Linked DNA regions of Coturnix japonica. The protein of the gene in region 7 purifies or fractionates together with the protein of the main gene of each other region. This does not show direct contact. Links are inferred from orthologs where the notes say so. Each region holds a gene or a part of one and is shown on either strand. Other genes may lie near its edges. The genes, in order: IFT74, IFT27, IFT20, TRAF3IP1, IFT46, IFT22 and IFT57.

The links.
Region 1: the proteins of IFT57 (region 7) and IFT74 purify together in Homo sapiens (affinity purification with mass spectrometry; 3 studies listed by BioGRID and IntAct, counting the BioPlex papers as one, with this or other methods). This does not show direct contact. The link is inferred for Coturnix japonica from reciprocal best matches to the Homo sapiens genes IFT57 and IFT74.
Region 2: the proteins of IFT57 (region 7) and IFT27 purify together in Homo sapiens (co-immunoprecipitation; 3 studies listed by BioGRID and IntAct, with this or other methods). This does not show direct contact. The link is inferred for Coturnix japonica from reciprocal best matches to the Homo sapiens genes IFT57 and IFT27.
Region 3: the proteins of IFT57 (region 7) and IFT20 purify together in Homo sapiens (affinity purification with mass spectrometry; 3 studies listed by BioGRID and IntAct, counting the BioPlex papers as one, with this or other methods). This does not show direct contact. The link is inferred for Coturnix japonica from reciprocal best matches to the Homo sapiens genes IFT57 and IFT20.
Region 4: the proteins of IFT57 (region 7) and TRAF3IP1 purify together in Homo sapiens (affinity purification with mass spectrometry; 3 studies listed by BioGRID and IntAct, counting the BioPlex papers as one, with this or other methods). This does not show direct contact. The link is inferred for Coturnix japonica from reciprocal best matches to the Homo sapiens genes IFT57 and TRAF3IP1.
Region 5: the proteins of IFT57 (region 7) and IFT46 purify together in Homo sapiens (affinity purification with mass spectrometry; 3 studies listed by BioGRID and IntAct, counting the BioPlex papers as one, with this or other methods). This does not show direct contact. The link is inferred for Coturnix japonica from reciprocal best matches to the Homo sapiens genes IFT57 and IFT46.
Region 6: the proteins of IFT57 (region 7) and IFT22 purify together in Homo sapiens (affinity purification with mass spectrometry; 3 studies listed by BioGRID and IntAct, counting the BioPlex papers as one, with this or other methods). This does not show direct contact. The link is inferred for Coturnix japonica from reciprocal best matches to the Homo sapiens genes IFT57 and IFT22.

Annotation. Positions count from the first base shown.
Region 1 is NC_029547.1:60,476,065-60,479,564, reverse strand, and holds part of IFT74 (intraflagellar transport protein 74 homolog), read right to left. Parts: intron 3,438-3,500; coding exon 3,339-3,437; intron 3,174-3,338; coding exon 3,113-3,173; intron 2,622-3,112; coding exon 2,562-2,621; intron 1,686-2,561; coding exon 1,624-1,685; intron 1,184-1,623; exon of another isoform or gene 497-1,183; coding exon of another isoform or gene 171-496; intron 1-170. Other genes in the region: LRRC19 (leucine-rich repeat-containing protein 19), read left to right, coding at 171-496. UniProt on the Homo sapiens protein: Component of the intraflagellar transport (IFT) complex B: together with IFT81, forms a tubulin-binding module that specifically mediates transport of tubulin within the cilium. Binds beta-tubulin via its basic region. Required for ciliogenesis.
Region 2 is NC_029516.1:47,150,678-47,154,177, reverse strand, and holds part of IFT27 (intraflagellar transport protein 27 homolog), read right to left. Parts: coding exon 3,428-3,500; intron 3,225-3,427; coding exon 3,126-3,224; 3' UTR 1-3,125. UniProt on the Homo sapiens protein: Small GTPase-like component of the intraflagellar transport (IFT) complex B that promotes the exit of the BBSome complex from cilia via its interaction with ARL6. Not involved in entry of the BBSome complex into cilium. Prevents aggregation of GTP-free ARL6.
Region 3 is NC_029534.1:8,043,255-8,046,686, forward strand, and holds IFT20 (intraflagellar transport protein 20 homolog), read right to left. Parts: upstream 2,211-3,432; 5' UTR 2,180-2,210; coding exon 2,053-2,179; intron 1,971-2,052; coding exon 1,885-1,970; intron 1,388-1,884; coding exon 1,284-1,387; intron 948-1,283; coding exon 866-947; coding exon of another isoform or gene 856-865; 3' UTR 501-855; downstream 1-500. UniProt on the Homo sapiens protein: Part of intraflagellar transport (IFT) particles involved in ciliary process assembly. May play a role in the trafficking of ciliary membrane proteins from the Golgi complex to the cilium.
Region 4 is NC_029522.1:3,293,141-3,297,081, reverse strand, and holds the start of TRAF3IP1 (TRAF3-interacting protein 1), read left to right. Parts: upstream 1-1,141; 5' UTR 1,142-1,214; coding exon 1,215-1,337; intron 1,338-1,605; coding exon 1,606-1,674; intron 1,675-3,052; coding exon 3,053-3,214; intron 3,215-3,941.
Region 5 is NC_029539.1:4,769,186-4,773,454, reverse strand, and holds the start of IFT46 (intraflagellar transport protein 46 homolog), read right to left. Parts: upstream 2,801-4,269; 5' UTR 2,701-2,800; coding exon 2,398-2,700; intron 1,982-2,397; coding exon 1,842-1,981; intron 1,649-1,841; coding exon 1,574-1,648; intron 1,461-1,573; coding exon 1,367-1,460; intron 931-1,366; coding exon 802-930; intron 558-801; coding exon 436-557; intron 193-435; coding exon 126-192; intron 1-125. Other genes in the region: ARCN1 (coatomer subunit delta), read left to right, coding at 3,010-3,012, 4,213-4,269. UniProt on the Homo sapiens protein: Forms part of a complex involved in intraflagellar transport (IFT), the bi-directional movement of particles required for the assembly, maintenance and functioning of primary cilia. May play a role in chondrocyte maturation and skeletogenesis.
Region 6 is NC_029534.1:2,514,441-2,518,740, forward strand, and holds IFT22 (intraflagellar transport protein 22 homolog), read right to left. Parts: upstream 2,801-4,300; 5' UTR 2,740-2,800; coding exon 2,701-2,739; intron 2,447-2,700; exon of another isoform or gene 2,441-2,446; coding exon 2,361-2,440; intron 2,286-2,360; coding exon 2,196-2,285; intron 1,872-2,195; exon of another isoform or gene 1,661-1,871; coding exon of another isoform or gene 1,567-1,660; exon of another isoform or gene 1,477-1,566; coding exon 1,274-1,476; intron 860-1,273; coding exon 711-859; 3' UTR 228-710; downstream 1-227. UniProt on the Homo sapiens protein: Small GTPase-like component of the intraflagellar transport (IFT) complex B.
Region 7 is NC_029516.1:78,426,430-78,430,684, forward strand, and holds the start of IFT57 (intraflagellar transport protein 57 homolog), read right to left. Parts: upstream 2,801-4,255; 5' UTR 2,744-2,800; coding exon 2,589-2,743; intron 2,007-2,588; coding exon 1,844-2,006; intron 1,002-1,843; coding exon 883-1,001; intron 1-882. UniProt on the Homo sapiens protein: Required for the formation of cilia. Plays an indirect role in sonic hedgehog signaling, cilia being required for all activity of the hedgehog pathway.

The DNA.
Region 1 (3,500 bases), on a different chromosome or scaffold from region 7:
TCATCAAAGCCATAAAACAAGTGATTTTTTCAGGCTTTATTATAAATCAGTTATCCCCCTGTGATTGTTTAGGTGTTCTCAATCTAACTACTAAGAAATTCATACTAGAGTTCTTTCAGAGATTACACATGAAGATATAACTAACTTTTTTTTCCTGTCTGTTTTAAAAGAATTTCCAGTTCTCGGCAAAAGCTGGACCTTCCTCGTGGGAGTGCTGGGGTTTGTCTTAAGCACTACACTCCTAATTTTTACTGCCATAAAATGCCCAACATGGTACCAGTATTTGATGAGCTACAGACACCGTCGTCTGGAAGAAAACGACCCTGAGATGTTTGAACAGGAGTTCTCAGCTGACATGAATTCTTTTCCTGCGATATCAGATACAAACAATGAGGATCCCATAGTAATATTTGACAAAACTAACACTTCTGAACCTGAGGAAGATGGCTTTATTGAGGACAAATACATAGATACTTATGGAACTGAGCAGAGCTAATATCTTACGCAATGGACAATGAACTGACTCTTCAATCTATTCAGCCTTCCATATTATGCTATTTAAATACAGTATAAAAGGAACATAAGCAGCCTCGCATCTCAAGAATTTTGCGACAGAGAACAGCTGCACAAATCACAAAGGTTACAAATTTGGTCACGTCCACGTTAGTGTCACAACAAATATTTTGACACATGATAGAATACTGATGATTCACGTTTGAGAAAAGGCACTATGATTTATGGGAGGAAAAGAGGTTACTCCACACTGCCTGAGAGGACCAAGTCCTTAAAAGGAGGTTGTGAGCCTGATGTAATTACTGACACCATATAGATGAAGAAGCCAGAAACAAAAAACTCTTTGTTTAAATCACTGAAATAGAACACAGACTGGGGGACGGAATCCAACAGATCGGTGCATTAACAGGCAAAACAAATACCTATAAATATCTACACTGAATCAGTAGACCAACGTAAATGTGCCCACATACAGTAAAATGATAAGCAGCACTACTTATCTGATACCTTTATGCCTTAGTTCTTGATCATACCAAGTCTCTGCACACCTTGTTAACACTTAGAAATATATTGACAGACAAACCAGACATATTTACAAGCTGCTGAAAACCACAGCTTTAGTGAAAAATGCCTTCTTAATAAATGGCAAAACGCTATTTTACAAATATCACCCTTTCAGCCTATCACCAACTGTTCTCATGACTTACAAATCCCTATTGCAAACAGCTCACTTTCTTTATATGCATCCTTACTGTACCAGACAGGAATTGCAGTTCCAGTCCCCACTTACGCTTTACTTTTCCCTGTCTGCTACAACACAACACCCATAATCTGCAATCCGTAGGTCTCCACACACCAGGAGAATTCAATGCCACCTATTTCTTTCTGGATAACAAGGTAAGTTATCACCGCAGTAGTTACTCAGAAGAATTTAAAGGCAGAAATTCCAGCTTCAACTTGACACTGATATATGATCTAAAATGTTGGGATATCGTCACTTTCATGGATGACACTGCTGACAAATTTCTGAACTCAGTAACTTCTCCATTTTACCGTTTTCAGGTCAAGAGTTGGCAGTATTAGACAGGCATATATAAGTCGTGCACTTACGTTTGTCTTTCCATGAAAATTTTATCCACACTCTGAGCTTCTCGGTCATTCTGAACTTTTAACTAGAGAAAAAAGAAAAAATATATATATTTGAATATAATATATAAGAAGAAAACATAGTGTATGCACAAGTTCAAGGTTCTGCAATGGAGAAAGAAGCTGCTCAGAATGCAGTAGAGAAAGGAGGAGCAGAGGCCTCCTGCTCCAGAGCTGTTTGAGGCTGTCCTGAAGAAATAGTTTCTGAAATTGTAGCCTTCCACTGCCCTTCTGTGCTTGAAAAAGAAGTGCAAGCAAGTCTGTAGCAAATCAATTTCCATACTATTACTATGGGATCCACTACTACAATACTGCTTAAGCCCAGAGGTAGAATGCAAGTGTAACAGAGCTCTCTTCCCTTTGTGACACAGACAATGAGACTTCATTTTTCAGTCAAACACGGAAAATAAAAATGGTCAAGAAACACACAGGTGGTTTTTCAAGCTACCAAAGTAACAGGAAAAGTAGTCTCAAGAAACGGAACATGCTTTGAAAGCTTTAATACTTGGATAATTCATCTCATTATCATGAAAAACATTGTCCACATCACAGACTTGATTGGAGTTATTTATGACAGAAAACATAACACACAGCATTCTGTGCTTTTTAGTCAGATAAATAATGTAATGCAACACTTGCAATTTAACTTTGAAACAGCCTTCTCAAATCCAAGACACAGGTGCACTATCTTCACAGAAGCACTATCATCTGCCCAGACTTTACATGGCTAACTCACTGCAAACACATAACGTTGCCAAGTATTATGTCCAATTTAAACTAGAAAAGACAATAAATATTCTGAACTAGTATTGTGCTTTTCTATACAAGTCAGGTGTTCAAAGCACTGACATCTAATCTATGCCATTCCGTTGATTAAATATACCAAATATCTTAATTCTTACCAAATTGTAATCACGAATCACTTCTGCTATGTCTGTATTGGTATTAAGTAGATCCACAACCTGATAATAGACAGAATTTCAACCTGTCAGAATTCTTACTTAGTTAAAAAGCAAAAATAAGTACATACACACACACACAAAAAAAAGAAACAGAAAAATAAGTAGCAACTCACAAAGCATTTGTGAAAATACAGTATTTATCTAGAAACAAAAAGATTTGACTTTTAAACCTGAACAGATTACACACAGTTCTAAGAAGTAATTCTCATTTAATGCGGCTGTACAAACTCAATTATCATACAGCGCTGATTTCCTAATTGCATCAGCAACACCTTATGCTTACACATATCAAAATTTCTTGTTTTTTTCTCCTTAGCTTCTGTTTTCTTTTTTCCTCTTCTGGTAACTGAATAAACTCAGAATCATTATCCACTACACTTTTAAGGAGAAACAGCAATGAAAAAAGAAGTTGAAGTAAAGCGAAATCAGTAGCAAACAAAGGAAAGAAGGGCAAAGCGTGTTTTCAGTATAGAAAGCTGATACAAGCATACCATGTTGTAGTCTTCGAGCTGACCTTGCCATTCTTTGATTTCACCAGCTAAAGCCTCTGCCCTGAATACAAAGCAAGAAGCCAAACTTAAAACAGGAAGCGTTATTTAATCCAAATGAAATAATAAAAAAGACTAATTCAATGGTTCTTTGAAGCCTGAATAGTAGCCTAGAACAAAGTCTGGTGATTGAGAAAGTTAACTTTGCGTTAGGTGCCACAGAGCTCACCTTCTCTCATATGACAAATAAGCAGATTTCTCTTCCTTGTACATTTTTATTTCTTCCTGCAGCTTGTTAATTTCTGCTGTGAGTTCACTGGTTTTGCTTCTGCAAAAAATAACATTAAAAAAAAAATTAAATGTAAAACTGAAACACAGTGAAAAACAAAAC
Region 2 (3,500 bases), about 31 Mb from region 7:
TGGGTTGGAAGGAACCTCAAGGATCATCAAGCTCCAGCCCCCTTGCTGCATGCAGGGCTACCAACCTCCATATCTAATAATAGATCAGGATGCCCAAGGCCCCATCCAACCTGGTCATGAACACCTCCAGGTACAAAGCGTCTACCTCTCTGGGCAGCCTCTGCCAGCATCTCACCACTCTCTTGGTAAACAACTTACCCATGACATCCACCTTAATTCTTTCCTCCTTGAACTTAAAACCATTTCTTTTTGTCCTGGCATTATCTATCCTTGTAACACCTACAGCACTGCATACCTAGACAAAGTAGGAGAGCTATAAGAAGACAACAATGGCCAGCAGACATGATTTCTGCCTTTCTCCCACTGTCTCCCGCAGCACCTGTAATTCAGGGAGATACAAAGGCTATAAGCAACAAACAAACATCCTCACTTCATAAACAAATTTTTTCCACAGCCTGTTTGTATCTGACTCCCATGGTCTCCACTCACCCTTCACTATTGGTCTCTATAACTACGGTCACAAATGAACTAGGAAAATAGTATCACCCACATCACGCTACTGTTACACAGCCTAGTAGCTAAAAAAGACAATATATTATGCTTTCAAAATCCATTCAGACGATGGAGATGGTAATGAACAAACACAGTATTTTGAAGGATGTTAAATTATGACTACTTTAGTGCTTGAAATGAAGAGCAAGGTGGGCTATGTGCTTCTGACACAACCTCTTCTCTAATTCAAGTCTTGGCCTGCAGAAAGAAGGAAAGGGGCACCAGATGAATCCCTACTGCTAGCTAATTAGATCATACATTTTCTCACTTGGGCAATATATCTTCCCCTGCATAGGATGCATTTTTCTTCACTAACCTATCAAAAGCAGCTTCCCAATAAATCACAAATCACCACCAGCACTCCCTTAATGAGATCCTCCAGCTTTTGTGTTCATTTAATAAAACAATGTTCACCAATCTTACTGGTGCATTTAAGCTGTTTATTTGAAGTTATGGGAGGTCTTTCTGGTGCAGAGAGATTAAACTCACCCGTTAAAGGTGATCGTTCAGGACTCATTTCATCACCCATTCCTAAGGCATTCACCTCCCTGCCCCCATCTATCACATCACAGGTGGCAGACACACCTGGTATTCTATTTTCAAGATGAAAAAAAAAAGTCTTGTGTTGCAATCATATCATCAGTAGAAGCAGGGGAAAATGAACTACCTCCTTTAGATCAGCTCAACATCCAAAATAACTGTTATTCCTAATAGTAAGAGGTACAAGCATGTGCAGGCAAACTTCCATTCAGTCTATTGTAAATCAACACACACCCTCAGGATTAACAAGGCAACACATGTAAGTTAAAGCCAACCCAAGCCTAAAGAAGGTGAGTTGTGTCTAGTGACCCTAAGCCCACAGAGGAGTCCTCCTTTTCTTGAAATAAGAGCTTTCCCCAGCTAGTTCTGTCACCTTTTTCCAAGTGGATTTGTAAAAACAAAACAAAACAAAACAACAACCTATTCATTTTCTTTTCCAGCAGGCTCAGTGCCTGCTTAACCTCTAGACTGTATTCATGCTCCCTAGCTAATTCCCAGCATCAACATAGTGTTGCCAGTAAAATGAGCCCAGCTGCTATTCCAGATTCTTGAAGTGCTTCATAAACTCTGCTACAACATCTGCAGTCATATTCCTAGCACTGGGCATAAAAGTGGTTATAAAATATACGTATAAAAATATTGAAACACAGATTCCTGAAAAGCTTGCCTGAAAAACTACTTACTGTTTATTCTCCTCAGAAATTAGCCTTCCTTACCCAGGGGAGGCTAAAATAGTTCTGGAAGAGGGGAAATGTTACAGTTTAGAACTGCAAGGCAGTACTTAACTGGATGTTTTCACATACTGCATTAGCAAATATTAGCAATTCTTATATATGCAATGTCAACATCTCACACAGAGTGTTCTGTCCATGCCTTTACCCTTTGATACAAAACTTCCAGCTATACATGGCTGAATCAAATTCACTTAGCCAGTTTGTCTTTTATTTCCTGAGTCCTGTTTCCACTTCTGAAATCAGAATAGCTTGTTCTTTGAAATGCAAGGATAAGCAGGGAAAGTTTAACAACAAAGATGATTGATTCTAGTAAGGGATTGAGAACTAAGCCTAATGAGAACATGATGTTGCTAAGTTCAGCTGACAAGATACAAAATGAAATAAAACCAAATAAAATAACAAGCGCATGAAGAAGAAATGGCAATTTCCGTTTTAGACTTGCCCCTGGAATAAAAGAGGTATTCTCACCATATGACTCCATTTTACAGATAAGCCAATTTGGCTAAGACTGTGTGAAGTCCTTGCTTCAACAGAGCAAGCTGCTCCAGAAATTTTGTGACCGAGGGCCAGCAGAGGGCACTGCGTTACCAATTGACAGTGGTATAGATGCAAGACAGACCAGCAGTGGAAGAGCCTCGTTGAAGAAAACCAAATTCTAGTCATTAAAAAGAGATGTTAGTCATCACTATATCAATCCTAGAACTGATAAGAATAACACTGTTAAAATAGGTCTCAAATTGTGGGTGCTCCCACAAACACACCTAAATCCAATTCAATCCCCACACATCTGAGACGCTACGCGTCCATTTTAGGCCACAGACTTTCAACTGAAAATGCTTAGCAAGTAGTAGGGCTGAATCAGTCCTGCCCTGCGATGTATGTACCAGTGCTGGGTTGCTTAAGCAAAAAAGTATCCTGCCAGCTTCCCATCTCCTCCTTCAAATCTCTACATCCTTGCTTGTAGCAGCAGAAAGTTTGTTCAGACATGAGACAAGGCACTATTAACAAGGCAAAAAGCTGGCAATTTCCATTCTGCCTTCCCCCTTCTATTCCCTGCCTTCTCCAACCTAACAGACTTTCAGTTAGCAAAGAACCGAGGTAACAGACATGAAGGTGATGCTAAGGTAGCAGTTCCAAAACAATGTCTGTCCACTCACTTATTTCTAGTTTATTTTGAATTACCAGAAGATGACCGCGAAGAAGCAAAAAGCTCATCTTTTTTCCTCTCTCTGTATTCCAGTCCATAGGATTCTGGGCACTAGAAGAAGCTCTGAAGATAAGTCATCCCAGTCATGGCCCTCAAGCCAGTGAATGAAAGATTTCCACTTTTTCTTTGTACAGCTGGTAAAATGACTTTGCCAGGATGTTGAAAGGGGCCTCAAAATTTTTCATCTCCTTCTGTAGAAAGAAAATTGTAAATGACAGATAACTAAGCATTTCACTATTTCTGTTCAAACAGCTTCACAAAAGAGACTAAAACTGAGGGTGAGTTAAAGGACAAATAAGTGGAAATGAGTCCCCAGTCATTTACCCTCAGCTGAAAGAGAAGATAACTTCACAAATTCCCACTTCTATAGAAGGCGAAAAGAGCAGATACTCACTACTGACATCTCACAGTATTCCAGGCCGTGTTTGTCAGCCCATTCCTGCGCTTGTTTCTGTTCCACAACTCGA
Region 3 (3,432 bases), on a different chromosome or scaffold from region 7:
GGTGTGTAACTTAAACCTCCCACAAGCTTTGAAAAGGGCAGCGTTTTCTTATGTGGTTGCCTAAAGACAGGTGTAAAATGCATCTATTGCTGTTTGAACAAGAGCCTTGATTTTAGGTCACAGACATTCAGTTTTTAAATGCCATGCTCATATCTATGGTCTGTATGCGTTCCTGGTGCCACTACACGCTGAGGGTTGTTTGTCTCATCAGTCTGAAGTCCTACGGTTAAATTGCAGTATTCCACTGCAATGTTACTTCAAACACAGTTTAATCTTAATTCTCTGTTCCTCTTTGTGTGCAACTGCCCCGTTCTGTTAATCACCAATTTTTCTGACCAGTTTAGGAATTCCCAGGCAGGAGTTACCAACCACTGCTTCTCTCTTTTGCACGTTATGCTGCTAGGAGTGTTAAAATGGCTATATGAGGGAAGTCCTTCATGATGACGATCCAGGGAGTCACAAACTTACGAGCTCCCCAGTAACAAAGCAGAAGAAGCTAATTCTGGTATGTCCAAGTAGGTGACAAACAAAAGTTTATTGCCTGATTTCATTGAAAGAGCTGTACATTTCAAAAAGGGAGAGAGACATTAACAGAGGAACAGCAGTATTAATTCAACTACAGATTGAATCTGAACTACTGACTGTATAAAACCTTTATAAAAATCAAAGGACAGAACAGTCTTACAGCTGTTAGAAAGCCCTCCTTATTGCCACTTGTAGTGTAACTCACACTGCATTAAAAAACACTTTTATTTGCACAAACCATCCTTATTTATTTGCACACAGTGAAAAATTGCATATTTCTGAAATAGTCAAAGAGTCTGGAATGCTCGTGTTTCCAAGCTGGTCTTTATCTTAAAGTCTTCTATTTCTGAAAAATAAATTGGTCAATGAATTCATTCTGATCCGCTTCAATTTTACACAGACTCTCATATTCTATTCGATATCTGAAAGACAAAGAAAATAGGTTACCAGCTGATATTTTAGTGCAGTGCTCACCAGTCTGAGAGCGAAGCTCAGGGCTTCGTGTGTGTCCTTTTTAAGGCAACAGTCACATGAATTAGACTTGACAGTTCTAAAAAGCCTTTAGAAGTCACCTGCCTGCCACTCTTACTGTTTTATTAATTTCCACAGTTGTATGATCTCACATCACCTCTATCCGGATAGCCACAAAGCCATTAGAAATGATCCTTCTCAGTACGTGGCTGTTTCTCTCACATCTACACAGCTTTCTTTCCCAACTATTACGTCCATGCCCCAAAAACACTTAATAGGAAGCTCACCTTTCCAGCTGCATCTTTTTCTCAGCTATTAAAGCCCGCAGCTGCTGTTCCTGTGCTTCCCTTTGCTTTGCTATAGACTTCAGCAGATTCCGTGCACCGATGGCCTGTCAAAACAGACGTTTGTGATGGATCTGTACAAGGAGTTTTAACCCCTTTCACTACCAGCAGGTCGCGATGAAAGTCTTTCAGCCGTGCTAAGAGCAAAGGGGGCATCGTCCTGCTGGATGGGCTGTGGAGCAAACACAGTCCCTGTAGGGGCTGGGCGGGTTGAGGCATCTGAGGCTTCCTTCCAACCTGGGATATTCCTAACAGTGTGAAATAAACTGACCCCCTGGTGGCTGCTACCAACAGGAGGCTCAGGAGTTTCTCCCACAGAACAAACAAGGGAAAAGTAATCACAGCTGTGCTGAAAATTCATCTCCAACCCCATAATAAAGTGAGAAGATAAAGAGCGCTTGGTGACGTGTATTAGTGCACGTTTCTGAGGTAGTTACAGAGGTTTTTACTGCGTGAATCGTTGGACAGCCCTGTCCTCAGAGCCCACCATGAGCTGCGTCCTGCCAGGAGGTGTGACTACAAGGACAGCCCCAACGGACCGTACCTTCATCTTCTCGCTCTCGACAGCTCTGGCCAACTGGTCCATGAGCTCGATCAGGCCGCCCACCGTGCTCTGGAATTGCGCTATTTCTGAAAGAAAAACGGTCCCGCGTTCGTGGCTGTCAGCGCTGCGCGGAGTGAAGCGGCGCCCCCCGCCCCGCCCCGCACTCACTGTCCACGAAGGCCTTGCACTCCTCGCGGAGCTGCGCCGTTTGCTGCGCCACGTCGGGGTCGAGGACGCGCAGCTTGTTGAGCTCGTCGAAGTGCAGCCCCGCCGCGCCCAGCGCCTCCTGCGCCATCCCGGCACCGCTCGGATACACGGAGCCACAGGAAGCGCTGCAGGGTGCGGCGCAGCGCGCAGGAAGTGACGGGCTGCAGCGGGGGGGACGGCGGCCACGGGCGGTGAGCGGACTGTAGGGCCGGGCGGTGAGCGGACTGTAGGGCCGGGCGGTTCGGTGACGTGGGGCCGCGCGGGCGGGGCTGCGGACGCGGAACTTCGGTGTGGCCGCCGCGTTCGGGCCGGGGACGTTGCGGAGGCCACGGACGCGCCGCCCGACGGCCCCGCGACACCCGGTCGGCGCTGCCCGGACAGGCCGGAGCGGCCCGCGCAGCCGGTACGGGGCAGGGGAAGAGCGGGGCGGGGCGGAGCGCGTGTCCGGGCCCCGCCGGTTCAGCTCGGGGCGCAGTTGTCGCTTTGTCCTGTTGCTTTCTCTGCTTTGTGCGTCTTTTTTCCTTTGTCTCTTCTCGTTTTCTCCCCTCGCGCCGTTAGTCCCGCTCCTTTTCGTGGCCGTGCTGAACAGGGGCCGCTTCCTGACGGCGGTGCCGTTGTTGTGCTGCGCTCCGGCCGGAAGGGAAACGGGGCAACATTTATGCGTGTGTTAATGTGGGTAATTAAAGGTTCAGTCTGTGTTTATCGCAGGAGCCTCCTACGTGATCGATGATCAGGGACCTCAGTGACGTTTTGTCTCCCCGGACACGCTGTGCAGCGGGTTCTCATTTTGCTTTTTGGTTGTTTTTTTGCTTCGTCCTTCTTGGTCAGAAACGTAGCGACGTGCCGGAGGTGCGGCAACTACAGAAACCTTCACTAGTGCACGTGTTCAGAGATGCCGCTGCTGAGACTGGAAAGCTTCGTGCACACCCAGAGCTCGTTACGGACTCTGGCTGTCCTTAAAAACACGCTTTTATTTTGGAGGAAGGGCTCCTGTGGTCTGAAGCAGGATGGGACACCGAGGGCAAACCTGCAGCCCTGAGCCATGGTGCTGTTTTCTCTGGAGGTTGTAGGTGTAGGACAGTGCGCTGCTGCTGCTGCTTCTGGTTTACTTCGGTGTATGACAATATAACCTAGAGTTGACAAAAAGTAACTTTGTTGCTGGCAACATGGATTTCTCTGGAGCTGCTTTATTTGTGCAATTAACTTCTTACAGAACACAACTGTAATAAGCAGCTGCTAGTTGCTGTTGCTGGGTTACTGGTGGGGAATTGCTCCTCTGAGCAATATTGTGCTGGCTTTTAACTGAGACAAATACTCCAAAGACCAGACATTTTTTAGGCG
Region 4 (3,941 bases), on a different chromosome or scaffold from region 7:
GGTCCTCCTTTTTATAGAGGTGGTAGTGGGTTTGGGTGTCCACCTTCAGTTCTTGTTTCAAAACAAGTACTCTGCAGTAATACCCAGTTAGAGTTTCTCTGCCTAAGGTATTCTTGGACATCTGAGTATAACCTGTGTAACCCAATGAAAATCATAGGAGAAAGAGGATGTTCCCAAGCACACGGTGTCAGGACTTCTCTCCTGAGCACAACACTGCTCTTAGCCACGCTAGAAATCCTGCCTGTGAAAGGCAGCTTTGGGCTCCTGCTTCTGCCTGGTAACACAAAGGCACACAGCCACTGAATTCAGACTTTAAGTGGGCACAACTTTGAAGAGACAGACAGGGTGCTTTCTGTTGTCAACATGCATGTATATTCCCCAGCAGAAGAGTCTCCAGACTAAACCTCAAGCAATCTGTTACAGTGTTAGGATACCTTTTAAATTGCTGTGCCTCCCCTTAGTACCACGGGGACTCATGGAGTCTTAGTGAGTTCCTTGCTTTTGATTCCTCAATTAACTGAGCTGTGCTTCCTTGGGGCACTGCCTCTTCAGCAAATTGAGCATGCCAAAGGTCAAGCTGAACTAAACCCCCACGATTCATTCTCAGGCATTACAGACACTTTCATAGAGCTGGTGGCAGAAATCCAGATCAACCATATGATTCCAACATAAACAACCCTCTTCCCTAGAGCAGCTTCTTCCCAGTCTGTTTCCTCTGAGACCTCTTGGATGTAGAAGCTGTCAACACCTTTTCTTCTTCCTAGGATTACAGGATCCTGTAGTCACAGCCTGTCTGGGAACCTCATTAATTTCCGAGTGTGTCAGTCTGTTGTACTTTATTTAAAGAACAATGACTAAAAATTAATAATCACCAAAAGACATATTAACTGAGCACCGGTGCTTCACTGTTTGATAGTTATTAATACAACCACTGCATTTGACAGGTTGTATGGGATTAGATACTTCTCCTATATGTATATATATATCTGCAGTGCATTGACCCAAGTGCAACACCTCACACTCGGCCTTGTTGACCCTGGTTATATTCACATAACGTAGGCAGGGCCTAAGATGGCGGCGGTGCCTGTTGCTATGGCTGCGCGGTGCTTAGCAACCGCGTGCTGCGGCTCCGAGCATGCGCAGTGAGGCGCGTTGCGCCGCGGGGCAGGCTGGGAACGCTGAGAGCCGGCGGCGGCGCCGTCCCCGCCGTCGCAATGAACGAGGCGGTGGTACGACGGACACAGGAGAGTCTGGGGCGAGTGATCCGCAAACCGCCCTTGACGGAGCGGCTGCTGAGTAAGCCGCCATTCCGATACCTGCACGACGTCATCACCGAGGTGGGCCTCCCCGCCGGCGGGGCTCGGAGAGTCGGCGCCCCCTGAGCAGGGCGCCCCCTGGCGGCTGGGGGTGTAACCCCGCCTGGGGGGGGCACGGAGGGGCGTGGGGTCCCGGCTCGTGTTGTGTGACGCGCCGTGCTGGAAGGCAGCAGCCTTCTGCTCTAATATAGTTATCATTAATGATAAGGCCACGGTCTAGTGCCGCCTAATGCTGTTCTGTAGGAGCTTCGAGTGCCCTTAACTCGATCCTTTTCCTTGTCTTCTCAAGGTGATTAGAGTGACGGGCTTCATGAAAGGGCTTTACACGGATTTTGAATTGAAGTCAGATAATGTCAAGGTGGGTACGAAGCTTCCTTGTTTATTCAGCCTGAATAAAAACGGGCTCTGAGACGTGCTGCAAGGCACCTGCGGTCTTTGAGGTCCCTTCCAACCCGGGTAATTCTGTGATTCTGTGTGTGATTCTTTCCTGTGTTCAGCTTCCATTGCTTTATTCAGGCATGGTGTAGAAACAGTGGGAGGTATGGTGGGCTTTCTTTGGATATGTTGAGGTGTATCAGAATGTTCTGAGTTGGAAGGGACCCCAAAGCCCAAACCCTGCCATAGGCCACCTCCCACAGAACACATTGCCCCAGTGCCCCGTCCAACCTGGCTTTGAGCACTGCCCTTCTCCAGGCAGCCTCACTGTTTCCTCCTAACATCTAACCTAGATTTCCCCTCTTTTAGTTTAAAGCCATTCCCCATTGTCCTGTCACTATCAGACTGTGTGTGAAGCTGGTCTCCCTGCTGTTTATAAGCTCCCCTCAAGTAACAGAACACTGCTTGAGTGTTTCTCTGGATCCATATATATATATATATGCACTTTATACACGCATACAGAAGATATTATTGCTTAATAATGCATCTTGTTATGCGTGTTCTACAACAGTCTTATTACCATTATTACAGCCATTATGAAAGTCTGATTACTGAAAGTAATGCTATTAGTGAAAATGCTTTTCTTAAGTGCGAGGGTGACTCAAGTCTGTGTTTGCTCACCTTCTAGTGCTTGCCTCTTTTGCTAAGCAATGCATGCTGCCTTCTCCCAATACCAGCTAGGCTCAAAACTCGTCACTTACTCATGGCAGATAATGCATGTTGTGTGTTGCTAGTTAAACAGCTACAGCCATTGGTGATTGTTTAACATAGCAACTAAAGCTACTGGCTCGCCTATAGCTAGTTAAATGGGTGGTTTATTCACTTCCTAGGGCTGATAATTGGTTCCGTGAAAAGTAGCTTAGTACATGGTTAATTCTCTTTTTGGAGACCACTGTCCATTTTATTTGTGGATCCAAAAAGCAGATTTCGTAGGCGGGAATTATCTGTAAACTGCATCAAACTGACAGAGCGTGCAGCTGGATGGATCTCAGTGAGTTGTGTTTCCTGTCAGCTTTATATGATGTGTATGTAAACCAGGTTGGATGGGACCCTGGGCAACCTGGTCTAGTACCAGATCTGGAGGTTGGTGGCCCTGCCTGTGGCAGGGGGTTGGAACTTGATGATCCTTGAGATCCCTTCCAATCTGAGGCATCTTATGATTCTGTGATTCCATGAGTCTATGATTATGTGCTTAATAGAATGTTGTGCAGCTGATTCCTCCTGTCAGAGGTTTCCTAACCTTGAGGTGGTGTACGGAGTTATTATAGGATCTCACAGCTATTTCTGAATTGTTTTTCTAGGATAAAGATGCCAAAATCAGCTTCCTTCAGAAGGCCATCGATGCTGTGGTAATGGTGACAGGAGAGCCACTGTCAGTAAAACCAGCACGTGTTGTGGCTGGGCACGAACCTGAGAAAACAAATGAGTTTCTGCAAGCCATTGGGAAGTGTTGCTTAAAAAAGGTATGACATCTCCATCTACATCATTACAGAGATATGTATTTGTGTTATACATTATCAGAGCTCATTTGTGGCAGAGTTTGACACTCATTAGCTACTTTTAATTACAGAAGATATACTGTGTTGGGTTACCACTATAATAACAGATGTATAGAATGTGATCCTAAGCAGAGTTTGAGCCAGGTCCCCATACAAATACATTCTAGATATCCATCTAAAAACCTGTGAAGTGATGAGTGAGAAGAAACTGCTCCTTGAACAGCAAAATACTACAGTATTCACAAGCTGTGTGAAGGTTTTGTCTGGGTAATCTTTGTCTGATGATCTGATAGTTTACACTGCTATTATTTCCCTTCAGTTAACTGAATGAGACAGACTTCTTCCTTGTTAATTGCTTGAGATTGGCAGGGAGGAGGTGAAATGGGCTGAGTTTGATGGTACAGCTTTGTACAGCGTCGTGATGAGATGTAATAACCAAAGGCTGATGTCTGTCCATTCGAGCCAAGATTATTAGCCCTTTGTCTTTACTGTGAAACATAAGCTGGATGTGCACTGTGGAAAAGGTTTGGATTCTAACTAGCTTTATATCTAGTGTTGCTACAGTAGATAAAAAGCACCACCTGTTTATATAAGCCTAGTATGCATGATCAAATTATTGCAAGAGTTACAAAGAGGTGTTTGATTTAGAAGAGCAGAAATATAAGGTGCGTCTCAAAAGAAATAGAAAATC
Region 5 (4,269 bases), on a different chromosome or scaffold from region 7:
GAACAGGGTGCAAGCAAACTGGTCAAAGAGGAAGAGAAATCTAGATTTCAAGTGGGATCATTTTTAATGCTGAGCCCTGAACATTTTTAATTTGTAATGCTGTGCCTGACACTTGGATGCCATACCTTTCCCAAGAGCTCCTCAAATTCTGGTGACCACTCCTGCATGAGGGTCTCTATGTCAGGCATGGGCCTGTAAAGGAAGAAAGAAAAACAGAAACATTAGGATTGCAGGCAAGAAGCTGAAATGGCTTCCTACTGCCATTGCTGTGAATGGGACAGACAGTCTTAGCACTAAGGCTAAAGAAACACGCTAGAACAACTGGCCTGAAACTCAGCACGTCTTATTCCTCTCAGAGACACTGAGATCATCCTGCTCAGTGCTCCTGGACTTTGCCACCCACTGACCTGATGTTCTGCTGACATAATGACTCACCGGCTGTAGTGGACAGTGGCAGGAGGTTTGCAGCGGTGCAGTTCACTGATGTTTTCAATCCAGTTGTCAATGGCTTTGGGGTTCTTCTCTGCATTCTCCACACTTTTCACTTTTATCTGCTGCTGAAACAAAAATAGAAACCTGGAAGCACTTTGTGGTGGTTTTCCTAAGTCTGTACTGAGACTTGCCTGAGGCAGGGCTTAGATACATTTCAGTTTAAAGCTATAGGTCAAAAAGGGTTATTTTTCTGCTTTTAAAGCCAAGTTATCAGTTGTGTTGTGTTGCTATAGTCCCACAAAGAGTAAAGTGCAATGTCTTCATTCTAGCCTGGGTGCAGTAAATGTTTTCTCTCTCCCCATGACTCACTGTAATGTTGTGCTGTTTGGAATTCTCCGTTAGCCAAAGAGAGAGTACTGTGGGATCTGACTGCTTTGTTGATGGCTCATCTAAGACCAGCAGACCGAGGTTATCAGGCTTGCCATCTGGGCGTGGGACCTGCAGGTAAAACACAGAAGGAATCCTCTATGGGAGTAGCAGGGGATGCTGGAACTATTCTGTACAGCTTCTCCCTGTTGTTAGAAATTCAGACTCAATTCAGAAGAAATTTGTAAGCGTGATGCTTTGAAAGAGCAGAAAATACGAGTTGTTAACACAGCGGTACCTGAAATGCATAAGGTGTTGGACAAAGAAACAGGCAGCCCTTGCACCAAATTACATATGTGCTATGTGGGATGTTACCAAAGTGACCAGCCAGGTCATAGTGTTGCTATTTGTGATCTCCTAGGTGTCTACAGCAGTATCTGCAGCACAGGGCAAGGGCACCTCGCTACCACCAGGTCAGTGTGGCTGCAGTCTGCCAGGCTCATATCTAAACCACCTTCTGTTTCACCCTGTGTGTCAGCAGGTATGGGGATATCTGAAAACACTGTACCTTTAGGAAGGCATCAATGTCTCCAACAGCAGGAATGAAGTCTGGAATAAAAGGCTGCAGTTTGTGCTCAATCTGTATTGTTTTCGGAGTGTATCTTGAGAGAGAAAAACAACAGGATTGCATAGTGGGCAATTGACATTTCCTGCCAGAGACAAAGACCTTGAGACAAAGGAGAACCCAGGGCAGGCGAAAGCTCCTTCAACTCACCTCCTTATGTATTCAAAGAGTTCTTTAATTTCAGGAGATACCGGCAGGTAGTCATAGTTTGCGAGGTTGTAGTCACTGAAGAGAGGAAAAGCAATTCTTGCAGACATTACTTCCTATCAGTTTTTGTACAAGAACAAAGGCACGAACATGGATCCAGCTGTGCCCCAAAGCAGAAGCAGGACACTCTCACTGTAAGAGGCTTCCTGTCCGTGCACAACTCTGTTCAACCCTTTTAAGCCACGGGTTCCCGGCTCCCTCCGCTGCTCACCCCTCCAGTGAAGCCCCGCGCTCCTCCGAGTCCTCAGAGTCGCTCTCGGAGGAATCCTCATCATCGTCATCATCATCATCATCATCGTCATCATCGTCGTCCTCGCTGGCGGTGGAGGGTCCCAGCCTGGCCACTGTTTCCTTCAGGGCAGGAGGGACGCGGCCTTACTTACTGTACCGTACCGTGCCGTGCCGTACCGTACTGTACTGTATCGTACCGTATCATACCATACCGTGCTGTACCGTACCGTGCCATACTGTACCGTACCGTACCGTATCGTACCGTACTGTACCGAGCCATACCGTACCGTACCGTGCAGTACCGTTCCGTATCATACCGTATTGTACCATACCATGCCATACCGTACCATACCGTACCATACCGCACCATACCGTACCATACCGTACCATACCGTACCATACCGCACCATACCGTACCATACCGTACCATACCGTACCGTACCGTACCATACCGTGCCATACCGTACCGTACCGTACCATACCGTACCATACCATGCCGTACCGTCCCGTGCCGTACCGCCCCTCTCCCCCCGTACCTTGCTGCTGCTGCTGCCTCCTCCTCCCTCCCGGTCGTTGCCGCGCTCTCCCGCCCCGCTGGGCCGCGCTCCCGTGCCGCCTCCTCCCGACCAGATCGGCCCCGGCCGGCGGGATCCCTGCGGCCGGTTCTCGCTCCCCGCCGCCTCCTCGGTGTCCGGCAGCTCCAGGCTCTCGTCGTACGGCTGGTTCTCCACGGGCCGAGGCTGTGCGGAGGGTCGCGGGGAGGCGATGGCGCGGCCCGGCCCGTCCCCGCTCCCCTCGGCCGGCCGCCGCTCCGCCATGACGCCGCCTTCCGTCGCCATGGCGACCCCGTCTCGCTCTCCCTCTCCCGGCTAGAGCGGCGCCCGCGGCCCGGCCCCGCAGCCGCGTGTGGGTGTCGCCCCCTGCCGGCCGGGGCCGGTACTGACGCGGGCCGCCCCCAGGGCCGCGCTCCGGGTCCTCCCGCCCCGCCCCGCCCCTCGCGTCGTGCGCGGCGCCGCTTCCGGCTGGGGACGTGGCTCGGCGCCGCCATCTTGTGGGGCTGCCCGAGGGGACGCGGAGCCGCGAGGGAGCGAGCGCCGAGCCGAGCGCCGCCGCCATGGTAAGGGTGTGCCCGGCCATGAGCCGCCGCCATGGTAAGGCTGTGCCCAGAGCTCAGCCGCCGCTCGTGGGGCCGCTGCCGGCCGGACCGGGGTCGGAGAGCTCGCGGGGCCTGGCCAGGCCGCTCATCGCTCGGCGGCTCCGCTGCCGTTCTCTGGCCTCGTCCCCGAGCACTGTCGGATCGCTCCGCAGCTCCGCGATGGACCCGGGCCGCTCCAGGCCGTGCTGCCCCGCCGGGTGACGCTGCGCTCCGGGCCCGGACGTGGCGCGGCCTGTGGGAGCCTCCAGCTCCGCTTACCGGGCGCTGCCGCAGGGCGGTTGGGGGGCACTGCCCGCTGTGCGCTGCGTGATGTGTAACGTGGAGGCTGCTTGCAGCGTTAAGGCTGACATCTGTAACCAGGCCTCGTCTCTTGCTGCCTCAGCTGCCAGCTCGGGTGGAGGTCACTTGTGTCCCGTTGGCTGTGGGTGACGTGGAGCTGTGAGCTTTCCGTCCCCGAACGGGACCTGCTGCTTGGTGACAGAGGCCGAGGTGCTGCTGAGATCAGCTGTGCCATTCGGTGCTGTGCTGTGCTGTGCTGCACTCACAGCCCTTTCAAAGAGCAGTTGGGAAATGGAGGCTTATGCCTGTTGCTTTCTTCAAGATATCCCTGACTACAGGGTTCCTATGGCCACTCAATGTACAGCAGTTGCTGGCTGCTCACCTGGCCGTGCTGGGGTTCATGCTTGAAATGTACAGACACTGAAGAACTTCTGGTGCTTCTCATTGTTAGGATACTGTGATTAAAACTGGCTGGGGAGTGAAAGGATCTTACCTTTAGAAACTGCTTTATCTTCACTATGTTAATTAAGAAACTAATCTGTGAGAGAAGTATTTCAGGACGAAGTCGAGGCGGAGAGAATGAGAAAGGGTGAATTGGCAGTTACCTTAATGCCTTTCTATTGTTGGTGTGATAACATCAGTGAAATGCCCAGGAGAACCATCCACGTGCTGTAATTAATATAATGGTCAATATTTTATTAACCCGGCTTAGTTTAAGTGTGGCACTGGGAAGAGATGTCACATTTCAAAGTGTTCTGGTCTTTATTGTGACTTTTCTGCTGGGGCTGAACTAACAGATAAGTCAGTTTTTGCCTAAAGCATTGCTGGGGTTTTGTCATAGCCCTATAGGAAAAGGTGTTGCATTAGCCTGAATGGAGGACTGAGAGCTTTCAATGCTGTGTCTGTGTCCCTATAGGTGCTGTTGGCGGCAGCTGTCTGCACCAAGGCAGGGAAGGCCATCGTCTCCCGGCAG
Region 6 (4,300 bases), on a different chromosome or scaffold from region 7:
ATGGGATGCTGCCCTGGTCCTCTCTACTGTAAATTGTCCCCTGGTTAAAAAGAAAAGTGTCAGTATAGATATATTCCTCTGGTTTTCATTCATCATTTCTTTGGCTATCTGAGTCCATAGTTTTTGCAAACTTCTCTCGTTGGATCTAATTAGCGTGAAACATACTACAAATTTATCACAGCTTTCCTCACTAATAATTAAGGAAGTTGATAAGACATACAAGAATGTAATTCACTTTCCCTTTGAGGGCAAAAAAAGATGCAATTTTATTATAAAGACAATTTTATTGCCTTAGTATTACATTACAAAAAATGCCTTCCACAGCAGAATACAGTAAGAACAGGGATGAATGTAAACCAAACAAAACAGAAAGTAAATCAACTATGAAACCACTTATTTCAGTACAACAGGGAACAGTAATCCAAGTTTGAAGCAGCTTTTCCTCCTCTGAAAAATGCAGCACTTATTTTCCAGCTTATTGGAGCTCCAGGAATAGGCCAAAGTAATTGCACTGCACTGAGGTTTTGATTCCTTCTTACTCAACATGACCCATATCTTGTCCCCAACGAGGGTGAGTTTGTTGCAGTAGAGGAAAAGCTGTCATGAGAAAGGCTGCAACTTTGACTTGCCAGAGTCAAAAAGTTGCAAAGGATGTTGCTAGCACGGCTTACAAAGTTAAAACAATCCTTTCTCTTTATTTTCTTCTAGTGTTATGAAATAATTGACATTTCTTCCTTCTCTCTGCTCTCATTTAATACATTTATAATGCTTCTGAAGTATTTCATAAATTCCATCCGAACATCTTCAGGATCTTCTTCTAAGTTGGAATGTATCAGTTTCAGCTTGTTCAATGGGTAAGCTTTGAATGCAAGAAAAAAATAGTTAGGCATGTTCCTAAATGCAGCACTCATGATGAATGTCATGGGACAGTTCTTGCTGAAGACATCAGCTGGAATTCAGTAGTATCTGATGTCTCATACCCCAAATGACATATAATGTGAAAACGAAATGCAGCATAGCTTGACAAACAAGAACTTGCTGCTAGTTTAAATTCCTCAAATGTTATAATTAAGACTCAAAGTATTGGCATTGGTCTCACATTCAATTAGGCATAACTGAATAATTCAGCACTGAATTGCATTTTACTACTGAATTGCTAAGAGTTTTGAATTATATCAAAATTAGAGTGGTGTTATGTTAAATATGTATTAATATATTAATACTTATAATAAGAACTTGTTTGAAAACTCTGAGCAACATTCTGTATTCTCACCTAAGGACAGATTTTCTGTGTCCTCTGCACTGCCTGGCTTGTGATGTGCAACGAGGAGACACTGGCTATCGAGCAGTGGCTGCTGCTGCACGAAACACGAGTACCACATTTCGATTTCTTTCAGGTGACTGGGCTGCTCAGGATTGAAGATTATTATTACGCCATGAGAATCCTTCATAAGAGCTGGCCAGCATGTTTCAAACCTTGAAAAAGAGGAGCATGGAAAATGGTAAGACTGATAGCTGGAAAATGGAAACATGCAGTCAAACTTGGCAAAGTTTTCTTCTCCCCACCTCAACAATGTACCTTGGTGGATGCTCCATCCCTGAAGACACTCAAGGTCAGGCTGGATGGAGCTCTGAGCACATGATGGAGCTGTGGGTGTCCCTGTTCACAGATGGCCATTAAAGGTCCCTTCAAACTCATACAATTCTATGACTTTATGATTTCAGTAGCTTTTTGTGAAAATAATGTTAGTGATCTCGCCAATATCTATGATATTCCAAATAAACCTTCTTACTTATTCCTAAAAACTAATCTGTCCAGTTCAGAACTGTAATCCCGGGAAATTAAAGGCCTCCATCATATAAATACATTATTTGAAATCCATTCATGAAATAATTTCAAACAGATAAAGGCAGGGCCTCTGCTTTGCCTCTGATTTCATTTTGAGAACCATGGACTTGTTACATTCAGTCCTTAATCAAAACTAACACAGTCAGCTGGCATCACAGAGAGGGTTACCCAGTATTAAATGCTTTACAATAGAAAGCAATACATATTCATACAGGAGTGAAGAGGTGGGAATATTCCTCATCTCCAAAAGATCATTGCTTTCAGGGTCTTATGCATGAGAACGTTGTGTATACATGATTAATATGAACTGAATAACCCAGAGGAAGTAACAGCAATGCCTGCTTACTTCTGATCACCGCTGCAGTCCCACAGCTCAAATCGACACCCAGCTCCTTTGCTGTTCCCATTTAAGTTCGGCTTCTCATACTCCAGGATCCTGTGAACACAAGCAGGTACATGATATTATCCACCACCTCCTGCAGGTCGGTTCATTCTACACTGTTGTTCTCACCTTACTCCTTGTGTCGGGACATAGCTGCCAATTCCCTCTATGCTCTCTGAAACAAAATTTGCCAACACGGATTTTCCAGACTGATACATGCAAGAAAATAAAAAGACAACCGTATGAATTCAATGCACCAAAGCCACAACGAATGGAATAACACAGGGTTGCTCCCAACACCCTGCCCTCCATTGAGATAACTGCATACAGTCCTGCCCCTCTGCCCCGTCCCACTGAGGCCCCGCCTGGGAAGTGCAGCCCTTTAGGGTCAGTCTCAGTCCCCGATGAGGATACCCAAGGGTTACATGCAGCCCTAAGGACAAGCAGCGGCCTCAGGGCTCTCCCTCACCTCGCAGGGCCCCACCAGCAACACCTTGGCCTTCAACATGGCGGCCGCCCACGCGTGGCCTAGCAACGGGAGGGAGAGAAGGGGGAGAGGGAGGGTGCGCTGCGATTGGCTGTGCTGCCGTCACGTGGTGGAAGGGCTGGGTATAAAGTAGGGCCGGCCGGGGTGATGAGGGCAGTTCAGCGTTGCCGCTGTTGTGTTGCGGTTGTAATAGTTGAGGGGGGAGCGGGTGGTCTGTGAACCCTGTAAACGTGCTTTAAATGGCAGCTAAATCAAACAAAGCAGCCCCGAGCTGCCATCTGGCACACAGCTGTGCCGCTCCGGAGCTGTTTGGTGCCCACGTACAGCCCTGCTATCAGACGAGCTTTCAAACATTGCATTTAAGTGTTCCCATAACATAAATGTTTATTACGGGTTCTAAATGTGAGTCAGGGCTGCTCTGCTCTCGGCTGGGAGCTGGTTCTGTCTGTGTGTTATTGGTTTGTGGGGGTACGTGTGTGAGTCAGGCTGAATTCACAGTGCATGGGGCAGCCTGTCCTTAATGCTCTGTGCTGCTGCGGTATTTCTCGTGTTTCAGACCCAATAAATGGGATGGGTGACCCAGAGGGAAGTGATCAAGGCAGTTCTATTAGCTGGCACATCCACAGGTACATGGAGGGAAATGTGATCTAAAGGGCTGGATTGTGGGCAGCAAATTAGAAGGAAATAATGGACTAAAAATGGGTAAAGCTGGCTGCTGGTGCAGCTGCCCAGAATGCAATAGGGATTGATTTGTAGATGAAGTATCAGATCACATCCTCCTGTGTTTGTATCAGCCACTGAACAAGGAGAGCACAGGTGTGATTTTCAGATCTATTCATGTGCTTTAGGGCTTCAGGTCGCTTTAGAAAGTAGGAATTAAGCTGCCTGTCCGCTTAGGGTGATGTTTTCAAAGCATCTTGATGTTGATGTTACAATCAGCATCTGCCTTAGGAGTTAAAGTTCCGTTAGTTACTGATCCATCGGCTGAAAACTCAATCTGTAATTGAACTGCTTCCAGGCTGTCCTGGTAATGGTCTGTATGTTTTGCATTTATGATATGGCTGCTTTTTCACCATAACGTTTTGGTAGCAAGCAAAAATGATCTCCAGATGATTCTGTGCGGACAGATCCTCCTTCTTCCTTCCAAAGCAATTGCAGGCTATTAATAATATGTTAGTAAAATGATTCTTAGCACTGGAAATGTCTGTGGGAATTCAAACAGAGATGCAGTGATTGCTCTATCATGACATGTGGTGCTTGCTGCTTGAATTGCAGATAAGAGTCTCCAAGTCAGAGGCCCCTCCAAGTCAACACATCCCAATACTCTTATTTTCTGGTTCATAGTATGTGAATCTAGAGAGGAGATTTAGCTCCGGTGGTTTTAACTCTTAAGCTAAAACTGTTTAGGATGCCTCTAATAGATGTCGCTTTTGTTACTCTGAGTTTCTGTGGAGCAACAGTAACACCTAGTGGCTAAACGTGCCAGTCCATTGCCTTCTTTTGTTCCCTCCCTTCAAGAAGTACGAGTTGGAGGGGACTTGGTGTGATTGACAGCTTTGACTTGAGAGGCCAACACTCAGCA
Region 7 (4,255 bases):
TTTCAGGTTAAGTATGAATAATGTGGAACATGAACAGACAGTGGTTGTACCACACATTTAAACAAATTAAATTATTGTCAACCTTCAAAGTCTTTGGTTACCTCAGACTGTCTTAAAAGTGAGGACAAGTAATCAGGCCAAGCAATAAATTGTATTCATGCTGCTAAGACATCTAGGGATTAAGTTTTCATTCATCTTCTCCTTTGGTCTAACTTCTAAAACTTCAAGTGCAAGTCTCCACAAACTCATTTGTAGCCTATTTTGGAATTTGTGTACTAAATGTTGGTAGCAATAAGATACTTTAAAAGTAGAAATTACTTTGCCATACAATTTAAAAACACACCAGAGGGAGGGGATGAAATCAAGAGCAATTTTAAACAAATTGCCATACACTTGAAATCGTTTGCCATCTGAACTCTGTGAAGATTTCTTTTGGATTCAATACATAACGTTATAGTAGTCTATTTGTAATAGGATCACATGTTGTGTGAGCTTCCAGCTGAGGAGCTGGATTTAGCTACTGATTGATGAGACCAAAACAGACAGATAAGGAAACATTTCAACTCAAATGTTAGATTAACAAGCAGTTACTCGCAAAAAAAGAGACCAAATAGAGGCTATTGGTCAAATCTTAATTAATTAATTTAATCTACTGACAGCCCAAACTCACTCTTGCTGGCAAAAGACTAAGATGCATGAAGTGGTATTAGGAATCACCTTGTTCCATTGCTTCAAGCCTAACTTAATTTTGCAGCTCATGAAACGTCAAGTAAAACATTTCTGGACAATATTATATTTTGTGTGCCTCCCTTTATAACTGCCATTTCTATTCGTTTGTTGAAAAATATTGTGTATATGAGGATTCTTCCAAGTGTACTATACCTTTTCCAGCTAAAGCCACTGTATTTCAAGGCTTCTTCGGCTAAACAATCAAGAACATAACAGGCTTGCTCTCCATAACCCGCCTTTAATTTTGAGGGAGGAAAATCCACAGGCCTTCCCTAAAACAAAAAGATATGATGCTGTTTACTGATGGCTATAAATCGATTTCATTTCAAAGCAGTAACCAGATTTTTTTTTTAACTAAAACCCAAGCGTCCATCATGCCAAAAGATTTTACCAATGCTATTTCACATTCTTCTCCACTGGAGCTCCAGTCAGGCAACAGGATTGGAAAACAAAACAACTCAAGGGACAGATGCAGTGCAGAAATCCTAAACATGGTAAGTGATGTTTAGTGAGCAGAAGAATCAAACTGTAAGGGAACTAGATGGTTAAGAACAAAAGTGCCATCCTGGCAAGGTAAGATCAGCTACAGAGGAACCTGGGTACTGAGATTAAACCTATGCTTTTCCTTTTTCTTTTAATCACTGCCTTGTTTGTTGCAGATGTCTCTCCAGAGAACACAAACACAACTTAAAATATTTCCTTTGCACTTAATTCCATTTTTGAACTTGGCATGAGCAGAATGTGAGTACATATTGTGTAAGCTTCTAAGGTAAACTGTGTAAATTATGCCACTATAAATGAACAGCACTTGTAACACTACAAGAAGCAAATCAAGATTAAATCTTGATTTAATCCATTTTACAGACTGTGGAACAAAACTAAATATAATATTCTATGGCCATTTTTGTAGCGTCAAAAAACAAAGTAGTACATACAGACAGTATAAATATCTAATAACTTCTAATTAACATTGTTCAAACGCACAGAGAGGAAAAGCCTGTCCAGTCCTTGGGAAGATAATCAGATAGGACAGGAAACATGTTATTCCTGATATTTATGAAGGTCACGTCCGTGCCTGAAATGCACTTGAAAAAACAGCATGTTCAGCACTTACAAATGATCGCAGTTCCGAGAGTATCTTTGATATTATTGCATTGGGGTCATCATATTCTTGAGGCTGTTCGAAGTGATGCCCAGCTTTAGTGATCAGCCAAGCGGCGAGAGTGCAGAACACGAAGAACTGCTCACCAGGATTAGTGGGCAGTGCAAAATAGTGCCTGTTTAAGAAAGGGGAAATGGTAAGCAATGGTGTTTTGAGCTACTGAGGTAATTACAGAATCACAGAATTATCAAGGTTGGAAAAGACCTAGAAGATCATCTAGTCCAACCATTACCAATACTTCCAGGCTAAATCATATTCCTCAGCACCACATCCAAGCGTTTCTTGAACACTTCCATGGTCGGTGACTCCACCACCTCCCTGGGCAGTGCATTCCAATGCCTGACAACTCTTTCCGAGAAGTAATACTTACTAATTACTTCCTAATTCCTAATTACAGCACAATGAGTGAGCACAGGCTAGGAAAACAGACTCTTAAACAAACTTTCCCCACACTCCCCAGCTACCAGATGGGCAAGAGGTTGGTGTACCTACACTCGTGCACAGCCTGGACCAGGAGCTTCTAAATTCTTCCACTCACTCCCACCTACTGTGCGATCTATACAAACAGCACTATTTGGGATCAAACTAAATAGAATAAGGTGTTCTGCTGCCACACCTAACGCGCCCTGAAGGGCACTTCCACCCCCCCTAGCGACCCCACAACCTCCCCATCCCGCTGGGAGCGCTCGAGGGGCACCTGGAGAGCGGCCGCACGTTGTGTCGCCTCAGCACCTCCTCCTCGTAGCTCAGCAGCTTCAGCTTGTCCAGCAGCTCCTCCATCAGCACGAAAGCGGTGTAGGCCGCACCGGGACCCCGCTCCACCACAGCGCCGTCCTCATCGCGCTCCGCCATCTTGGAACCACACGCCACAGCCCGTAACCGAAGCAACCGGCTCTACCAATCACCGTCTGCCTCTTCCTCCATGCCACCAATGGCGGCTCAGCGCACTCAGGTCAACGGCGAATCAGCGCTCGGAAACTCTCCGCCCATCCCACAGGGTTGGCAGGAGCTGGATTGGCTGCTGCTGTGAGAGAAAGCGCAGGGATTGGTGCTCCTCGCTCTGAGTGTATGTACTGATATACAGTACCAGAGAGCGCAGTGGGGCAGAGGACTTGTAGCCATGGGAGTGCTTTGGAAAGGGAAAGGGCACAGCCCCGAAGAAAAGTTATATAAGCCTGTTAAGCTGTACCTTCGCTCCCTGCCTCCAAGAGGAGCTCCGGGTGCTTTGCTGTTCGTGAACTCTGAAGAGGTAAAACTAAATAGTGCTCAGAGCAACACTCTGGCATGAAAGGGTGAAAGCTGGGGTGTAGAAGCAAAATGTGTGAGGTAAAATGTGACGTTTCAGGTCTGCTTCTTAAGAAAGGTTCCATTGGGAGTATTTCTCACTGGCTGAAGTTGTGTTTGGAGTCTGCGTTTGGTACATTGGCATGCAGTTGGCATTTAAGGCATGTTCTATTGGTGAGCATTAATGCTATTTAATATATTGTCTTAATAATCTTATTTTCCCCTACAGGAACAGGTTCCTGCAAGCCAAAAGGTTGGACGTGCATGGTAGGTGATCTTTATGGCTGGCTCCAAGCCTTTCTGTGCTTACTGCTGATACGGACTTTTTGTGCGTGTGATTCTTCCTTAGTAAAACATGATGTGTTCAGGCATTTCTAGCTTTCTTAAGGCTGCACGTGCTTGGAATGTGCCATTATGAAGTTACTATGAAGTTACCTTAAAAAGCAAAGAAACAATCCTTTTCCTAAGAACTAATAACTTTTGTCTGACAAGACAGGGAATGTTGTAATGTGTGACCACTCCCACATGCTGCTAAGAAGTAAGTATGCTAGGTGAACCCTTTGGCCAGGGTACAGGTAAATTGGAAACAAAATGTCACATTCCAACAAGGTGACAAAGCCTTTTGCTGTTTGTTTCATATGGTGGTCAAAGCAAATGCTGGAAAACCTGATGCATACAGTTTTCCAGTATCTAACTTGTTTTCTCCTTGCGTTGGCAACTGCTGCTAGTTAGTCACTGTAGCTAAAGGTACAAATAAATTAATATATTGAGGTTGTTTTACTCTTGCATAATCTCTTCTTCAGGTTTAAGAATTTGGTGCCCCTCTGGCCCCCTCCACAAAAAGTGGTAATACATAAAATCACTCTTGCTTTGCGGAAGAAGCTACATGCAAAATCCTTGGGATGTAAGATTCACACGCACCATAAATACAATTGCACACACCAGTCAAAACTCTTTGTCAGTATTGGTGTAGGATAGAAGAACTGACCAGCAATCCCAGCCAAACCTGTGCCTTGTCTAAGTTAGAGTGTGTGTAGGTCTCCTTTCTGGAGGGACAGAGGAGTAGGGGAAGCCCTTTAG